Linked DNA regions of Arabidopsis thaliana. The protein of the gene in region 2 interacts with the protein of the main gene of each other region in a pairwise test. Each region holds a gene or a part of one and is shown on either strand. Other genes may lie near its edges. The genes, in order: MKK4, RACK1B_AT and SPCH.

The links.
Region 1: the proteins of RACK1B_AT (region 2) and MKK4 come close enough for resonance energy transfer, tested with the Arabidopsis thaliana proteins (one study listed by BioGRID).
Region 3: the proteins of RACK1B_AT (region 2) and SPCH interact in binary tests that used the Arabidopsis thaliana proteins (3 or more experiments, as listed by UniProt).

What each region holds. Positions count from the first base shown.
Region 1 is NC_003070.9:19,151,697-19,157,218, reverse strand, and holds MKK4 (mitogen-activated protein kinase kinase 4), read right to left. Parts: upstream 2,897-5,522; 5' UTR 2,645-2,896; coding exon 1,544-2,644; 3' UTR 881-1,543; downstream 1-880. Other genes in the region: AT1G51670 (uncharacterized protein), read right to left, coding at 1-77; AT1G51650 (ATP synthase epsilon chain), read right to left, coding at 3,578-3,606, 4,356-4,539; EXO70G2 (exocyst subunit exo70 family protein G2), read left to right, coding at 5,375-5,522.
Region 2 is NC_003070.9:17,980,255-17,985,504, reverse strand, and holds RACK1B_AT (receptor for activated C kinase 1B), read left to right. Parts: upstream 1-2,127; 5' UTR 2,128-2,236; coding exon 2,237-3,115; intron 3,116-3,426; coding exon 3,427-3,528; 3' UTR 3,529-3,869; downstream 3,870-5,250. Other genes in the region: PEX3 (peroxin 3), read right to left, coding at 1-114, 202-329, 395-431, 536-606, 714-844, 918-1,108, 1,199-1,360, 1,541-1,554.
Region 3 is NC_003076.8:21,585,013-21,591,643, reverse strand, and holds SPCH (basic helix-loop-helix (bHLH) DNA-binding superfamily protein), read left to right. Parts: upstream 1-2,388; 5' UTR 2,389-2,702; coding exon 2,703-3,101; intron 3,102-3,414; coding exon 3,415-4,044; coding exon of another isoform or gene 4,045-4,071; exon of another isoform or gene 4,072-4,426; intron 4,427-4,972; coding exon 4,973-5,038; 3' UTR 5,039-5,425; downstream 5,426-6,631. UniProt on the Arabidopsis thaliana protein: Transcription factor acting as an integration node for stomata and brassinosteroid (BR) signaling pathways to control stomatal initiation and development. Activates transcription when in the presence of SCRM/ICE1.

The DNA.
Region 1 (5,522 bases), 1.2 Mb from region 2:
TCATTCTCAAAGACATTATCGCGTCTACCGTATGAAAAAGCCAATGTGAAATTCGGATCATAGGGAGGGAGTGCCATCTGAAAATTTGCAAAGTTTTCAATAAAACTACATTAATGGATGTGAATAATAAATGCAAAGAACATTAACAAGGGAATTAAAGTGAAGCGATTTTTCACGAAAGAAAGGAAAAGCAAGAGGGACCTTTGCTTCCTAATAGGATCGAAGTTATAGCAAAAAGAAACATTTTTATCAATGACAAAAAAACAGATCGATGAGTATGTGGCTAAATCGAAGCAATGTGACCAAACTAAATGAAGTTTAAACGCTAACAACCTAACCAAAAGCTCCTCATTGTTCACTAATCACACTGAAATAGTAAAAAGATGACATTTTTATCAATGACAAAAAACAGAGGAAGGAGTTTGTGGTTAAATCGAGCCAGTGTGATGCTTCTTTACCAAAGAATGACAAAAATAAAGAAGGATCAAACGCTAAAACGTAACTACTCACTAATCACACTGAAAAAGGAAATGCACAAGCAAGCAAAATCCGTAACAAAAAAAAAAAACCCTAAAACGTAACTAAAAGCTCCTACAAAGGCAAATGCATAAGCAAAAATTGTGACAAACCAAAGCAAGCTACAAAAATCTCAACAACTTAGAAAAAAACTCTAAAGAGTAACACTGATTGCACTTACAAAGAAAAACTCACAAGCAGAGGAAGCAACCAAAGGAACCTAAAGGATTTAGTATTTATAGACAAGAGTATGGGTGACTCGAAAAACCCTAGAGATAGGACAGATGTCACCATCCTCTGTCATCAAATCGTATCAATGGCTGCGAGAATCGCTACTTTCTCCGTACAAGCTTTCAATTCATCACCACTGCTCTGTGTTTTTGTTTCTTGTCGTTTTCCAACTTTGGAGATGACCGTTTGACCGTTGTTGTGCCTTAGACGACGTCTTTTCAACATTGGGCTTTATCTTTAGCTGGCCCAAGTTCCTCTTTTCTTCAATTAGACCCACTTTGCTAAACACAGTCGTTTTGCTCTCTCGGATTGAGGAATTGTCTTAAACTCTTCCAAGGATGTTCTAAACTGGGACATCAACCTGATTAGGTTTGAGAAACGATTCTACGATCCGTATATTTTGCTTTTTCATGATGGTAATAAGCTTTACAAGGAGACATTTTATCAATGACAAAACTAAACACCGAGAATGGAAACGAAACGGTCCTTTTCGTCTTCAAGATGCAAAATTGACGAGCATAAATGACAAAAGAAAAACCAAGGCAAAAACTTTTATGAAAATTCAACAAAGCTACATTGGGGATACATGCACCATCATAAGCATAAGAATATTATCATTGTTCTCTTTTACCTTTCTAGAAAACAATAATCCCAAAAACCCTCTCTCGAGTTTTTTACTCCCTAATAAATGTAAAATTCAGAGACCCTCCATGATTAGCAAAAAATTGGACAACAGACTCAAGAACAGTAGTAACACAAAAAATATGAGTTGATGAAGGGAAGAAGAGAGAAAACGCTATGTGGTTGGAGAAGAAGACGAGGACAGAGGACGAGGAGGAGGCAAGAGTTGATGTAGATTCTGAGGAGACCTGTTCTGGCTCGGACTTGCTCTTAATATGAAAGGATGCTGCAATAGCTGCATAGCACTCCTCCTTTTCCCCGGTTCTCTCTGCAAGCAACACGAGATAAAATGCCGAAACTCCGGCGACGCAGTCGCTGGAGCTTCTGGAGGCTGAGACATACAAATGGCACACATAAGACTAGCCCAATCACCTTGTCTACTCACAGGGAAAGGAAACCTCCCCAAGTAAAACTCCAAAATGCTAACACCTAAGCTCCAAATATCTCCAGCATAACCATCATACTTTCCCTGATTCAAATCAGTGTTAATCCTCTCAGGACTCATATAAGCAATGGTTCCAACAGATGAATTACACGGATCCATAGTCTGAGCCAAGATCCTACTAACTCCAAAATCAGCAATCTTAACGTTTTTAGCAGAGTTTATCAAAAGATTCGATGGTTTGATATCACGATGAACTATGTGACGGCTATGGAGATAAGCTAAACCACTAAGAATCTGACGAGATAGATCAGCTAATTGTTGCTCTTTCCACACATGAGCACCTTCTAAAGAACCTTTATCCATAAACTCAAGCAAAACCTGGATCTCACCGTTCTGATCAAACATCTCGTGACATTTCACAACGTTTGGATGATTCACATCTCGTAAAATCTCGATCTCTCTACAGATCTGACGTCTCACAGTCTCCTCGTGGTTACCGTATATCACCTTAAGTGCATATAGACGAGAACTCGGACGGTGAATCACTTTGTATACCGTTCCACCTGCTCCGCTTCCGATACGGTTACCTCTCACTAAATCCGAATAGTTCTTCGCTTCTATGGAGCTGTTAGTGTTCGTTGAAGACGCCGAACCACCAGAAGACGGCGCAGATCCACTAGAGCCACCGGAACCACCGGAAGTAGGTGGGAGAGGAAGAGGTACAGCGAGAGAAACATCGCGTTGAGGAAGCGGTAAGGTAAGATCAGGACGGCGACGGGGACGGCTTTTCACCGGAACGGAAACTCCTGGAGGCGATTGAATCGGTCTCATCGCTTTTGGAATCAAAAGTTCGATTTTCTTCTACGATCTGAAAATTTAAAAGCTCGATTGAAGATTGAAGTAATGATCTTCGTCGTTTATAGTAGTAGTCTTCTTCGACTTCTTCGTCGTCGTGCGTTGTCGTATTCTAGGGTTTGTTTGTGGCAGGCTTAAATTGATTCGTTCTTCGAAGCGATCAAAATCAAAAGAAATTGAGAAATGAAGTTTCGTCGAAAGAAATTGAAAGGACACTGAAAAGGGAACGTTAATTTTTATTTTGAGAAAATTAATTAAAAGGAAATAAATAGCAAAATTGTTAAAATCGAGAAAAAGGTATCTACGCGATGTGTAAAGCGCGTGAGGATCACTTTCAAGCACGGAAACCATTTGTGACTTTGTGTGGTTGGTTCACTGGGCACTTCTGGCTCTGTTAAGTTTTTTTCAGACTTTACGCGGTGTCGTTTTGTTGGTTTTGTGATATAAACCAAGAAGAGGAAATCGAATTTAAATCAAACAAACGCGTAAAAGTGACATTGGAGATGGTCTAACCTGCAAATATGCGTACTGCGATTCAAAATACATGATTCAGAAAATCAGTTTGTATATTCTCATGTTTAATATTAAGTATGGTCTTCTCTCAACTTCTGACAGTGTATTGATTCTCCACGTATGTGCTTAGTTTTATGCTATTCTCACTGTTCTGTAACAATCAAAAGAACTTGTCTTTAGCCAGAAGAGTCTTTAAAGGCTTTTTTTCATTGTTCGCATACAAAAAGTGAAACAGAATAGCAAAAGAAGAAAAGAGATACACAAGACTCAGTGTGTCATTATTATGATCGGAAATGAGTTTTTCACTCAAGCTCCATTGTTGACAATAAAAAGAAAACAAATCTTGGTAACTCAGTTACTTTTGAATCCCTTAAGAACATAAGCTCAAAGTTGACTTCAAACTTCAGGTGTGTCTGACCGCAAAACTGTCAAGGAAAAACAAAAACATGAGAGAATGTTAGACAAATGGATCAACAAGAAGAAAGCTGAACCATTTTCAGATAGACTAAATCTGGAATCATTGTCTCAGTAAACCCTATTTGAGAAATGAAATCATTCCAAATTCAACAATTTGAACATAACAACAACTTATGAGAAAACAAAATAGAATGAAATTAATCAAATCCAGAAGCAGAAGAGAGACAGATTAAGCGCAAAATCGATGGAGCTTGTTAAAATGATTCATCTTCCTCTTAAATTCAATAGCTTTCCCAAAATGACCTACTCTGATATCTACGTATTCCAACAATTTCAATGACACACAACAAGAACATGAAGAATTCAGATCCAAACATAAACGAGAAAAGACATCTAAATGCAATGTTCCCAATCAGCTTTCCATCTTCTTCATGTTCTTGTTTCACACATACTACTAGTTTTGTTGTTTTCTCTGAAGCTAACTCTAAATGAAAAATTCAACAATTTGGACATAACAACATTGTATGAAGATAGTATTGAACTGATCAAATCCAGAAGCAGAGGAAAGGTTAAATGCAAAATCGAAGATCAAATCCAGAAGCAGATGATTCACTTTCCACTTAATTCCGATAACTTTTAGGAAATCAGATTATTCCAACAAATTACTCAAAAACAAATCAGGAATCGAGAACACAAGAACGTGAAGAATCCAGATCTAAGATCCAACATCGACGATTAAAGGATCGAAAAGGCTTACCAGGTTTCTGGGGCTTTCCATCAGCCCATTTGGAGAGAGAGAAGTGAACCTTCTCGCGAGTAAGAGCTTCAGCTTTGTGTGGCTCCTTGAGACAGTTCCTCACGATATTCGCACAGATGTTTGAATACGATATATATGTCATCCCCGCCGCTCTCCAGAACGGAACCGCCGCATTCGATGCCATCTCCGATCTTCTTCCTTGTCTTCCTTCTTCGTCCGTTCCGATTCTAAGGAGAAAGTTCGCGAAATGGGACAGAGACCGATTCTGTGCCCTAGTAATCCTAACACAGTTTAGACCCAATGGGCCTTATTAAATATTTTAACGGCCCATTAAGTAGCTAACTACACGAATCTTCTATCCAACTTTCATCTACTGAAATCTCTCAACTTTTTTTTTTTTTTTGGTTTCTTGTCTTTTTTATTTGTTTTTATGATTGTTTCTTGGAGTTTACGCGAAGACTGAGCCAAACCAAGCTTTGCTATTTTAATACCTTGATTAGGCAATTAGAAATTTAAGCGAAGTTACATAAAAATAGGAAAACAAACAAACTTATTTCCAGGAGTCTCCACGAAATTTACTCAAAACTTATTCTCATTTTCAGGTAGATTGAATTTCGTGTATATGTCTGCATAATTTCGTGTAAATGTCTGCTTTTCTTTGTTTTGTTTCGTTTTGTAGTTTTTCAAAAGTTAATATTAAATGTGCAACAGAGAGAAGACACCAATCTCATTGACTTGTCAGAAACAAAGAAGAGAGAAACAGTTTAGTTTCAGATAAAGATGGTTGAGCTGACTAACAAATAAAACAAGACTTTGGGTTTTGCTTTAAGTTAATGATTATATGTGATCTTGTTTTGGTTTATAGAAGTCTTTAGAAGAAGAACACTGGTAATTACTTATTTTGGTGGGTTTGGTAAGAAATTTGGTTTATCTTCCGAGGATAAAGGATTGTTATCAAATCCATATATAGTTGTTGAAGCAACAATCATATCCTCCTCCACTGAGTAAGCAGCAAAACAATGGCTGAATCAAAGAGACTTGAGAGGCTTAAAGCAATGAGAAGTTTATTGAAGAGTGAGATGGAGAAATCTGAAACCTTTTCATTGGTTCTTAACAAGACTGGATCCAAGATTGAAGAGATCAACCATAAGTTGTCGTCTTTAGAAG
Region 2 (5,250 bases):
ATCATTAAATAATCAACCCAGTGATGTGGGCTTCCAGTGCTCATAAACACATCTACAATCTGCATCACGGTTTCTTGAAGAACTCTTGTGGTAATTACATCCTTTAACTGCTTTCTGCAATTAAACACACAAAAACATATTAGAGTTTTTCCAACAATAGTCAAATTATAAACGATCTAGATACGAATTTTTGCAATGTACCCTTTAAGGACTTCCTCGGCTGAACCCTGCATATCTGAAATCAAACTTGGCATTGCATTGGTGACAAGAAAATCAGCACTCGACAAAAACTTCTGTTCATCATCTCTATCAATGAGATCTACCTCTTCCTGCAAACAAAAAGAAACAAATTTAATAGATACACTGTTGAAAGCTCACAGGGCAAGCAGATCACAGGACAAGCGGCCGTGGCTTTAAAAGGTAATCTGGAACTATATCAAAGAAAGATAGGTGATTCCAGAGTATTAGTCCACAGATAGGTCAAATGCATAATCGTTATCGCAATTAAACACAGCTACTAGAGACATAATTATACAAGTTCTTAACAGAACAACCAGTGAGTTTCCCCGAGAAATAGCTTGTTGGGGATGAGATAAGCAAAGTACACTGAATCATACTTGCGAGCAAATGAGAGCAGTAAAGAACATGTGCAGTATCGTTTAATAAACAGCAAATTCTCCAATACAGAGAAGAGGGGAAGCATATTATCTTACAAGTAAATGAGAGCTGCCAAGAGCTCGAGCGGTGTCAACATACAAATGTCTGCCTAAAATGTTGACTTGAACCCTAATGTATAAGCTAAGCATTGTCACAGACCACAGAGACAAAACCATCCTCGTGAAACCTGGCAAATAACATGAATATACAGGTAAGAAACAGAATTTGATAGAGTAAGAGTAGGTGACTGCAGTGCATACTCAAAATCTTGAGCTCATCCCAGAGCTGAAGTTTCTCAGGTGGACTCAGCATTCCTTTCCCTTGGTTCAGTCTGTCCATAACATGAGAGACATCGATCTCCTCGCTGATACGGATACTCAAAAACTGCATTGCGTGAGGCAGTGTGGTCGAATCCACAATCATCTGAATACTCTCGAAATGTGCTTTCATTCTAAACAAGAGTACAAACAAGACAGGTCCGTTAGAGAATCCATAAGAACTGAAGTCTAAAGGATCAGTTTTTATGAGCACAGAACTTAACTGGGTTTTGATGATTTCGTCATTTTCACGCTCGTGAGCGAGTTCTCGTTCCAAATCAGCAAGCCTACGAGTATGGGAATTGTATAGTTTGTAGAGTAAATACCCACTTCCCAAACAACCAGCCGTCACCAAGACCTTCCTTCTATGCTTCCTCCAAAAACCCCTAATTTATTCCACAAGGTATTGAATCAATTAAAAACCCTAACTTTATTCACCAAAAACCCTTCCTAAGGAATTGGAATTAGTGTGCTAGAGAGAGAGAGATAGAGAACGCAAAACACTAAATTTCGAATTTTCACGAAAACAGTAAGCAATTACAAAGAAAGATGAAGCGAACAAGAACCTAACGAAATCCATGGCTGGTGAAGCTTTTACTGAAGTCGAACCCAGAGATACATAGCTGAGAAAACACGTAGAAAGATGAAGATTCCCGAATTGATTCGTTCGGTTTGAAAAGGAGATAACTTTGCAGGCGAGAGAAAGAGATGGTTGATGTGATCGATTTCAATTTAATCAATCACTTCATCTTTTTCTTCTCCGGAATTCGGACATGTAAAATTATATCTTCCACAGGGACAGTCGAAGTTGTGTTCTTAGTTCTTACAATAAAAGTTGAAATGGCCAAACTCGGTTTGTTTACTTTAATTGAACCGACTTTTGAGTCTATTTCAATTTTTGACAATAACTTCTCGGTAGAGTTCTCATGGGGTTTGCCCAAAAGAGAGAAAAAAAAGTTGTCATGTCATGTACTCATGTGGTTATCAAATTGACTTGTAACAAGCTATACCAATTCTGGTTAAGCGTTCCAAACAGAAAGATATAAATCTCGGTTCCATAATTGTCCCAACATGAAACCAAGTTGGGTAGAATACCGGGCCTTAATGCTGGCCCAAATGAAGAGACCCAAACTATTGACAAATGAAAACAAAGAACCCTAATTATCTCTAACTATAAATACTCTCGGTTTCTCGTTACCTCCATTTTGCCCTCTCCCATTTTTGTCGCCGAAACCCTAAATCTCGACCTCAAACCCTGAACCATGGCTGAAGGACTCGTGTTGAAAGGCACAATGTGTGCCCACACTGATATGGTCACCGCCATTGCTACACCGGTCGATAACTCCGACGTGATTGTAACTTCGTCGCGTGACAAATCAATCATCCTCTGGAAACTCACAAAGGAAGACAAGTCATACGGTGTTGCTCAGCGGAGGATGACTGGTCACTCTCACTTCGTTCAAGACGTTGTTCTCTCCTCCGATGGACAATTCGCTCTCTCCGGATCTTGGGACGGTGAGCTTCGTCTCTGGGATCTCGCTACCGGAGAATCTACTCGTCGTTTCGTTGGTCACACGAAAGATGTTCTCTCTGTTGCTTTCTCTACCGATAACCGTCAGATCGTCTCTGCTTCTCGTGATCGTACGATTAAGCTTTGGAACACGCTTGGTGAGTGTAAGTATACCATCTCTGAAGCTGATGGTCACAAGGAATGGGTTAGTTGTGTTAGGTTTAGTCCTAATACTCTTGTGCCAACTATTGTATCTGCTTCTTGGGATAAAACTGTGAAGGTCTGGAATCTTCAGAATTGTAAGCTTAGGAACACTCTTGCTGGTCACTCTGGTTACTTGAACACTGTGGCTGTGTCACCTGATGGTTCGTTGTGTGCCAGTGGTGGCAAAGATGGTGTGATCTTGCTTTGGGATTTGGCTGAAGGGAAGAAGTTGTATTCTCTTGAAGCTGGCTCTATTATTCATTCACTTTGCTTCAGTCCCAATAGGTACTGGTTGTGTGCAGCAACAGAGAATAGCATTAGGATTTGGGATCTCGAGAGTAAGTCTGTTGTTGAGGATTTGAAGGTTGATCTTAAGGCTGAGGCTGAAAAGACTGATGGTTCTACTGGAATCGGAAACAAGACCAAGGTATCTATTTCTCCTCACTCTATCTTATGGTTAATTGTCTAGTTCTAAGTTCTGTGAATTAGTTAGCCGTTGCCTTAAAAGATGAGATTTTCATAAAGGAAGGTCTGAATACTCTCATGTGAAGTTAGTTCACAAGATTTGATTGGTACGTAAGAGAGTAGCTAACATTAGATTGAGAAACCTGGTTTTAAGTTAGCTCTAGTCTCTGATTTCTTAGATTGTAGTGTCTGAAGTGATTCCATATTGATTTGTTGGTTACTCTTTGGTCTGAGGTGGTTTATATATGTTCTAATGTGGAATGTAAAATGCAGGTGATCTACTGCACAAGCTTGAACTGGAGTGCAGATGGAAACACTTTGTTCAGTGGATACACTGATGGAGTTATCAGGGTTTGGGGTATTGGTCGTTACTAGAGAGACAAGAAGTTTCTTTATTCTCTCCAAATTTTTCCATCGACTCTAAAGTCTTCTCTTCTGAATTAGTGTTTTGAGGATTTATTTTTTGTTCTTTTCTATTTTCAGAATCCACAAATGTGATATTTTGATACATTGATTTTGTTTCATATTTGTTTTCTTACACTGAGTCTGAGTACACGGCGTAGAATCTGATTTGAAGTTGTTACTTGTATCCTCTAGAAAGTAGAAATGGCTTTAGGTTGATGACTAACTGTATAACAGCAAGAATTTTTTCTTAGGAATCTGAAAACTTCAAGGAGTTATTAGCCTTTACTTTTCCAGTGGTTACATCTTAACTACAACACGAACCCTTTCAAAAGAATCTCTAAACACCAATGCACCAACCAGTTTATCTTTTTGTACTTAATGATATTTGGTTTTCCATCTCTTACTCTACCAAAACTAAGAGTAGTCTAAAGTGTAGGCGACAAGGCCATATGTTATACGAATTCTCAGTTAACATGAACCGAATATAGCCCATATAGAATAGTTCTTGACCCAGACGCTTACCTCCATACGGCACAGAGTCTCTGATAAATGGGTCTTATTAGCATTAATTTTGTGTGTAGCCAAAGGTTGAAACTTGAGAACTTCTTCATGCTCAAAAACACCAAATGAGGTAAACCATGCACGAGTCAATAGTCAATAATCAAAAGTGCAATCAAGATTGTTTTCACTGCTTTTCCGAAGAAACCAAGACCCCCTATGACATGTTTCAGCATCATAAGCCGCTCAACAAAGCAATGCTTAATTGCTCTGTAAAATTTTTCATATTTCTTATCTTTTAGATATTCTACACCCAATACCCAAGTCCACGTATATAACAAGATCTTAATTAGGCTCCGTAGGCTTCGACAACATGTCCATTTTATATCATGCTTTTTTTTGTAGTCCAAATAAGCTAAGGTTGATCAAGAATGGAACATCAAACTACTAAAACTATAGATCGTTTAGCTCTGCATGATTTAGAGAAACCGCAGCAAAACTATTTCTATCGTCATTAGATGATATAATACAACCTTTTGCACTAATTTAGGCTTTGCAAATTTGAGAAAAAGAAATATAGACTTTATTATATTCTGTTTTGTTAACAAATTAGGCTAATCTACCTCATATTGGTTACTCGGATACTTTCTTCTCAAATGCGACAAGTCTCAACATGTTTCGATCAAATAGACGTGTTTCTATACTGCTTTGATGTTTTTTTATGTTCCCTGGTGCAGTTTCCTTGATTTGGACCGAACTTGGAACATAAGAGAAAACATGTCGCCTACGATATGGTTCTGCATGTTCTCCAAGATCCAATTCTCTAAAGTACCCCGCCTCGCCAATGATGTTGATTGTTTTGCGATTGTCATTAAACCCGATGGCGACTTTCTTTTCCTCGTTAATGAAGAAACTCGTGTGTATAATTGGCCCCGTATTTATTCTCAAGAACTTGCTCCACGACACCATTTCGGCCTCAAGCTTAGCTGTAATCCATATTTCAACTACATTTTTATAGTAGTGGTCCTTGTACTGAAATAAAACTGCAAGCTTCTCTTCACTAACACAAGATAAAATCACACATGAATGATGACGATCAATAAAGCTAAACGGCAAAGGCAAAAGCGGTCCAAATCTCTCTCTAGTAAAATCAAAACAAATAATGTGATCGCTATAACCGCCGCTCCTCTTCCT
Region 3 (6,631 bases), on a different chromosome or scaffold from region 2:
GTACATGCTAATAGTTCATAACTTCACCACCGTGACCATCTAGAATCCCCAACTAAAATATCCAACTATAATTTAAAAATAAATTTGAAAGTATATCCTATAAACGTTTTACAAAACCAAAACCGAAACAAGATCATCACTGCGATAAGGAGATGTTGTGTATATATATGCTTATACTCCATCATACATGCATCCATGATTTCACATACATATACATGATGCATGTGGATGAATGAAGAATTGTAGAATCTCGGGCACGGAGAAGGCGTGTCCGGTCATTGAAAGCCGCCCACCATCTTTATTATATTTGTTTCCGAAGTACTGATCTTTCTGCTCAACTTGCAGATTTTGATTTCTGCGCAACTTGCAACTTTCTCATTCTCAGTTTTTTTCTCTGAATAATTGCTTCAAAAGTCAATTATTATTGTTATTATAAAAAGGCAATAAATTTCAGAGTAGTCATATATTCATTCTTTTAGTCTGTCGAGTTTTTGTTTGTTTGTTTTTGATTAGTAATCATCGGAACCAACTCATGACACGACTTCTTAATCGAGACTGCAGGAAGAATATAATCAACGTTTTGTTATGTCATATAAATAAAATGAATTTATGTCAATCTCTTTTTTGTTGTTGTAGTAATGTAACGGGCAACAGTGTTATAGAAATGTAGATTTTGATTTGCGAAATAAATAGAGCAAGACAAAACTGTACGAAAATTGAAAACATGTCATAGTCTCCATAAAAGGGTATCTATATATCCGTATATATATGAAATTGAATAATACCTTGGATCCGAGTCATATCAAATTAATATCCTGCATGCATGAATAATTAAACTTTAGTTACATTACTATGTCCGCTAAATCAAAATCACTGACAAATATCTTGTTTATTTTGTACAGTGTAATAAGTTTGTCCGGGTTGGTTAAAATCGAAAATTGAATTGGGATTCTTAAAATCTATTTTGTTTTAAGATCAGTTTGGTGTTTGACAAAAAAGAAGAAGATCAGTTTGGAATGTGTCACATAAGAACATGTAATTAAAAGTAATTTTCATCATTATATAAGCATTGCATTAAGAAAAACATAGTTTTTTCTAATTGCTGATGTTTCATTAATTTGGGCTAGAAACAAAGCATAAAGGAGAAGAGACCCGTTACTAAAAAGACATGGTCAGGTAAATAATATCTGACAGCCAACTCATTAACTTCAAACCTAACGACTACCTGGTTTGTCTTGGCTCCATCTTCTTAAATTTTCGTTTATTTTCTAAAACATTTGAATGGATTATCAAAAAAGAAAATGTCAAGCAATATTTATATTTATGTACAAATATTTCAAAAACTTTTGAAAGGGAAAGTTCAAATGAAGGGTGGCTCCTCAAGATGCAATTTGATTTTGATGAGACAAAATGAGGCACGTCTAGTATGACATCAACTATTTATTGCCTTAGATCTATCCCTTGTCTTTTGTTTTCTTGAAAACAAATTCGTTTGCTCCCTGTATCAATATAAAGATTAACTTACAAAAGAGGTGATATATATATATATATATACACATTATATCCCATCTTATTAATAATGCTTACTAATATTGCTAAATTCATATTCTATTTTGGGTTGGTTTTATAAGAAATTGAATTCTTATGCCATCTCATCAGGTGTTTATGAAATATGTTAGGGATCCAGTTGAACTGAACTAACATTACTAAATTGAATTAATTAAATTGTATGTATGGCTCGGGAAAGAAGAAGGAACGGATTTTCTTTCAGAATTGTGGAATCGAATTTTGTTCTTCTTTTTGGGCTTAAATGTTGGTTAGATTACACCATGACATAAACAAAGGCCAAAGTATATGCTTTAAGTGAAAATCTGTATTTTTAAATCGACTGGCGATAACATGTCTGAAATTGGTCTATCAATCATAAAAAGTCTCTAAATATGTATCTTTTTATTTTTTGAATAATGAATGATCTATAATGTGAATGTACAACACATCATTCAATTGATTGTCTCACGATTGAGGCGCTAAAATAAATGTGAACTCACTAATTTCAAATGTTTTTTTTTTGTTTGTTTTTTTGTATATATATATACTTGGAAACCGGGATTGGTCGGACCATATTCGCAACCCGAACATATACGTAAATTAAATACAAAGAACGTACATGTCCGTGTTTATGTGTATTACATGTTTGTGTGTACAAAAAACAATTATACCGAGCTTGTGATTATTCAAAATTTTACCCCCATAAAAATCTTTTCCTAAGGAATTTATGTATCTTTCCCTTTGCAATATGCAACCTTTATCTCTGTAATATAAAGTATACAATAAGACGTACCATATATATATATGTAGATGCATATTTATATCTAAAACATAAATGAGACACGAAAAACCTAGATCCTCCCCCAAATTTCATCCAACGGCACAAACCGCATAATAAATAACCCTATCAAAATATAATAATAAAAATTGAAATTTGATAGCGATAGTTTAGTCCTCGATGAATGCGAGTCCCTCATATTTACTCCTTTTGGCATTCACTCTCTTTATTTCTCTTTCTCAACTTGATATGTCTTTTGGCGTCTCTTTCTTTCCCTAAATCTTTCTTTTATTTTGCTGTTTAAAAAAAAAATCCAACCATAAGACAAAACAACGAACGAGGAAGAGAGAGAGAGAAGGATATATCTCTAATCACGATGCAGGAGATAATACCGGATTTTCTTGAAGAGTGTGAATTTGTCGACACTTCACTAGCCGGAGATGATCTATTTGCCATCTTAGAGAGTCTTGAAGGTGCCGGAGAGATATCTCCGACAGCTGCATCTACACCTAAAGATGGAACCACAAGTTCCAAGGAGTTAGTTAAGGATCAAGATTATGAAAACTCATCTCCTAAGAGGAAAAAGCAAAGACTAGAAACCAGGAAAGAAGAGGACGAAGAAGAAGAAGACGGAGACGGAGAAGCAGAAGAAGATAATAAGCAAGATGGGCAACAAAAGATGTCTCATGTAACCGTGGAACGTAACCGGAGAAAGCAAATGAACGAGCACTTAACCGTTTTGCGTTCTCTTATGCCTTGTTTCTACGTCAAACGGGTATATTCAATACATCCATAGATTTTACTAGTCAGTATGTGAGTTTCTGGTAGTGCCCGACTAATTAATACTATTCGTTCAACTAATCTTTTTGGTATACCTAACTATCATATTCATATATCATTTCTTAGTAACATCAAAAGTATCATGCATATCTATGTTTTTTTAGGAATAATGACAATTATAATGACATTTTGGTCCCACTAATCATCTCTTTTTCTTTTCTTTCTTTCATGTCACAATGAGATATATAGAATGTTCATATTGACTTATATTTTCTTTATTTCCTCTTAAACCAACCTATTAAAAAAAGGGGGACCAAGCATCGATCATAGGAGGAGTTGTGGAGTACATAAGCGAGTTACAACAAGTTCTCCAATCTTTGGAAGCCAAGAAACAACGTAAAACCTACGCCGAAGTCCTAAGCCCGAGAGTTGTCCCGAGCCCTCGTCCTTCACCGCCTGTTCTAAGCCCAAGAAAACCGCCTCTTAGCCCGCGCATCAACCACCACCAGATTCACCACCACCTACTTCTCCCTCCCATAAGTCCTCGAACACCTCAGCCAACAAGCCCATACCGGGCCATTCCACCGCAACTACCACTCATCCCACAGCCTCCGCTTCGCTCTTACAGCTCATTGGCCAGTTGCAGCAGCTTAGGAGATCCACCTCCATACTCTCCTGCTTCATCTTCTTCATCTCCTTCAGTTAGTAGTAACCATGAGAGTAGTGTGATCAATGAGCTTGTTGCTAACTCAAAATCGGCTTTGGCTGATGTGGAAGTGAAGTTTTCAGGAGCTAACGTGCTGCTCAAAACGGTGTCGCATAAGATCCCGGGACAAGTTATGAAGATAATTGCTGCTCTTGAAGATTTGGCTCTTGAGATTCTTCAGGTTAATATTAACACCGTCGACGAAACCATGCTTAATTCTTTCACCATCAAGGTACGTACGAATAATCATCCTAATTAATTTTCACTGACTTGTTTTTTTTGTCTCTATTCATAAGTGTAATTCATACATTTATTTTCTTACATAGGATATATGGTGGGGGAAGAAATGGGTAGGGTAGTGTAATAAGTAATAATTCATTGAGATTCACATAAACTCATACACACTTTCGATATATATGAAATTTAATGTATGATTCTAATCTACATTATATATATATAGATAGATATATATATCATTATATAAAACGTAGGGTATGTGTATGTCAGATTCCTCACAAACATACAAAACTAAACTGTTCGTTGTTTTATACTACTTTTACTAAAACTCTTCTCTAATTTATACATTTGACTTTCTTAAAAAAAACGGTGTGAAAGAACACGTGTTTAAATATTATATAAATTATACGTGAACATTGAAGAGCCCCCAAAATCTTCAATTTTAAATTCGAAAGGAATTATTCTATATATTTGGAAATTATTCAAATAGATCAAGCTGCTGAAGTTTATAAGTGTCAAGACTTAGTTTCTATTTTTGATAAGTACTTAAATTTGTTCAATGAAGAATTTCTACAATGGATGTTTTAGTATTGATGATTTGATTATCGAAAAAAACAAGATCAGAGATCAAGTAGGGATACTATTAACTATGTCTCGCAAGTATAGATATTTGGTAATTAAGTTCCTTAGAATAGGTGATTATGTTGAGACGAGAACAGATCTTTTTTTTTTTTAATAATAGTTAAATTTGTTTCTTTTTCGTTGGGAGTTTAGTGCCTCGAGAAATATAGAGCTACTCAGAATGAAATTAATTGAAAACACTTATTTTTGTATAAATTATATTTTTTTTCATATCATCTTTTTTTTTTTTGTTAAAGAACAATTATCAATGTATACTTCTCTATCTTTTTTTCTTTTGATAGATTGGAATTGAGTGCCAACTAAGTGCAGAAGAACTGGCTCAACAAATTCAGCAAACATTCTGCTAGTAAAGAAGGATTTAATATAGCTTCGTATAAACCTTAACGAGAGAGCAGTACGTACTCACTTTCTCTCCTTAGTATCCCTTTAATTATCTTTTCAGTTTTCTGCAAAGATATGGAGTTTAAAAAAATAAAATTGTTATCTAAAGTTTTAATCAAATATTGATTAATTATAACTAATATAGGTATAAGTGAGTTTTAAAGATTATCAGCTTCATAACAGCCATCGTCATGTTTACTTTCTTTTAAATTTTAGAATTTAGACGTACTCCTACCATGTAATTTTATTTCTGTCATTACATCAAGCATTGTAGCTGTAATTGCATATGAATGAACAATAGTGTATGAGTGATCTCATGAATAATATTCTTCTTGCAACACAAAATGTTAAGGGATATATTTTTTTGTAAATAGAAAGAATGATTCTACATGCCGCAGCAAATGTTCTGAAAATCAAAAGAGTGGATGTTAAAAAAAAAAAAAAACTAAAATGATTGTACCTTTTATAAACTCTTAAAAGATGTTCTTTTTGGGTGAAAGTATGGATTATTTTGTCTCAAAAAAAGAATTATGTAAATATATACACATTTATATTGTATATATATATATATTTGTGTAAGAACTAATTTAAATGTCTCGTTTCACATTTTATCAGTAGAATCATATTTTACATCATGTTTGGGATGTGAGAAAATGTTTAATTGTTGTTATGCAACTATGCAAGGCAAGTCTGTGCACAAACTAATTTGGAATATGCAACTTAAACCACAATAAATTCGGATTTTACACAAACTAAGCTTATAATAAAATTATAGCCATGCTCATATTTTTTTGTAGATGTTGCATCCAATCTCAACATTTAGATGCAACATCGAATCATCCATGTTCAACATCAACATATTGTTGGGTTTAAAACTTTTGACTGTGAAACTTCGTGTGGCTGGTTTAGAGATCAACCAAACCCCAAAACTGATGGTGGTGAATATCCCTAGCTATTCAAATTGTAGTTTGTAGATATCCGATTTTTTTTTTTTTTCCGTCACTTTGTAGATATCCGAATTATCAATACATTCTCTGAAATGGATAGTCCTAACGCAGTGTATCCACTACTGGTGAACTTACAACTGGGCTGTAAAAACTGAAATTGGGCATTTTTTATCGGCCCATAGTTTTACCTTTACTTGTATTGGTCGAGTGACGTTGATAATCTGTCGTACCTTGTTAAATAATGGGCTAAAATAATTGGGACACTATTGGGCCTAAAAGCTTTAACTAAGATTGTGATTTGTGAGTTTATGTGAAACGACATATAGCTGAAGAATTGAATCGTTTGGTTCGTAATCATGAAAATCATATAATGGAAAATTCTATCCGTTAAATCCTGTCCATGAAAAGTTAGTTTTAGACGCAAACCGTCCGTTCATTAGTCGTTTACCAATGAGAATCACGTTTTTTAAATAGACGTTTAGGATGATCTCATATAGTACTTTTTATCGTGTTGGTAGAAAGTTTTCAAACTGATAATTTTTTGTATGAAAGGCAATACTATATATAGATTCTTTATTTCTTAAAACGTTTATAGAAAAATTAAGTTCATAC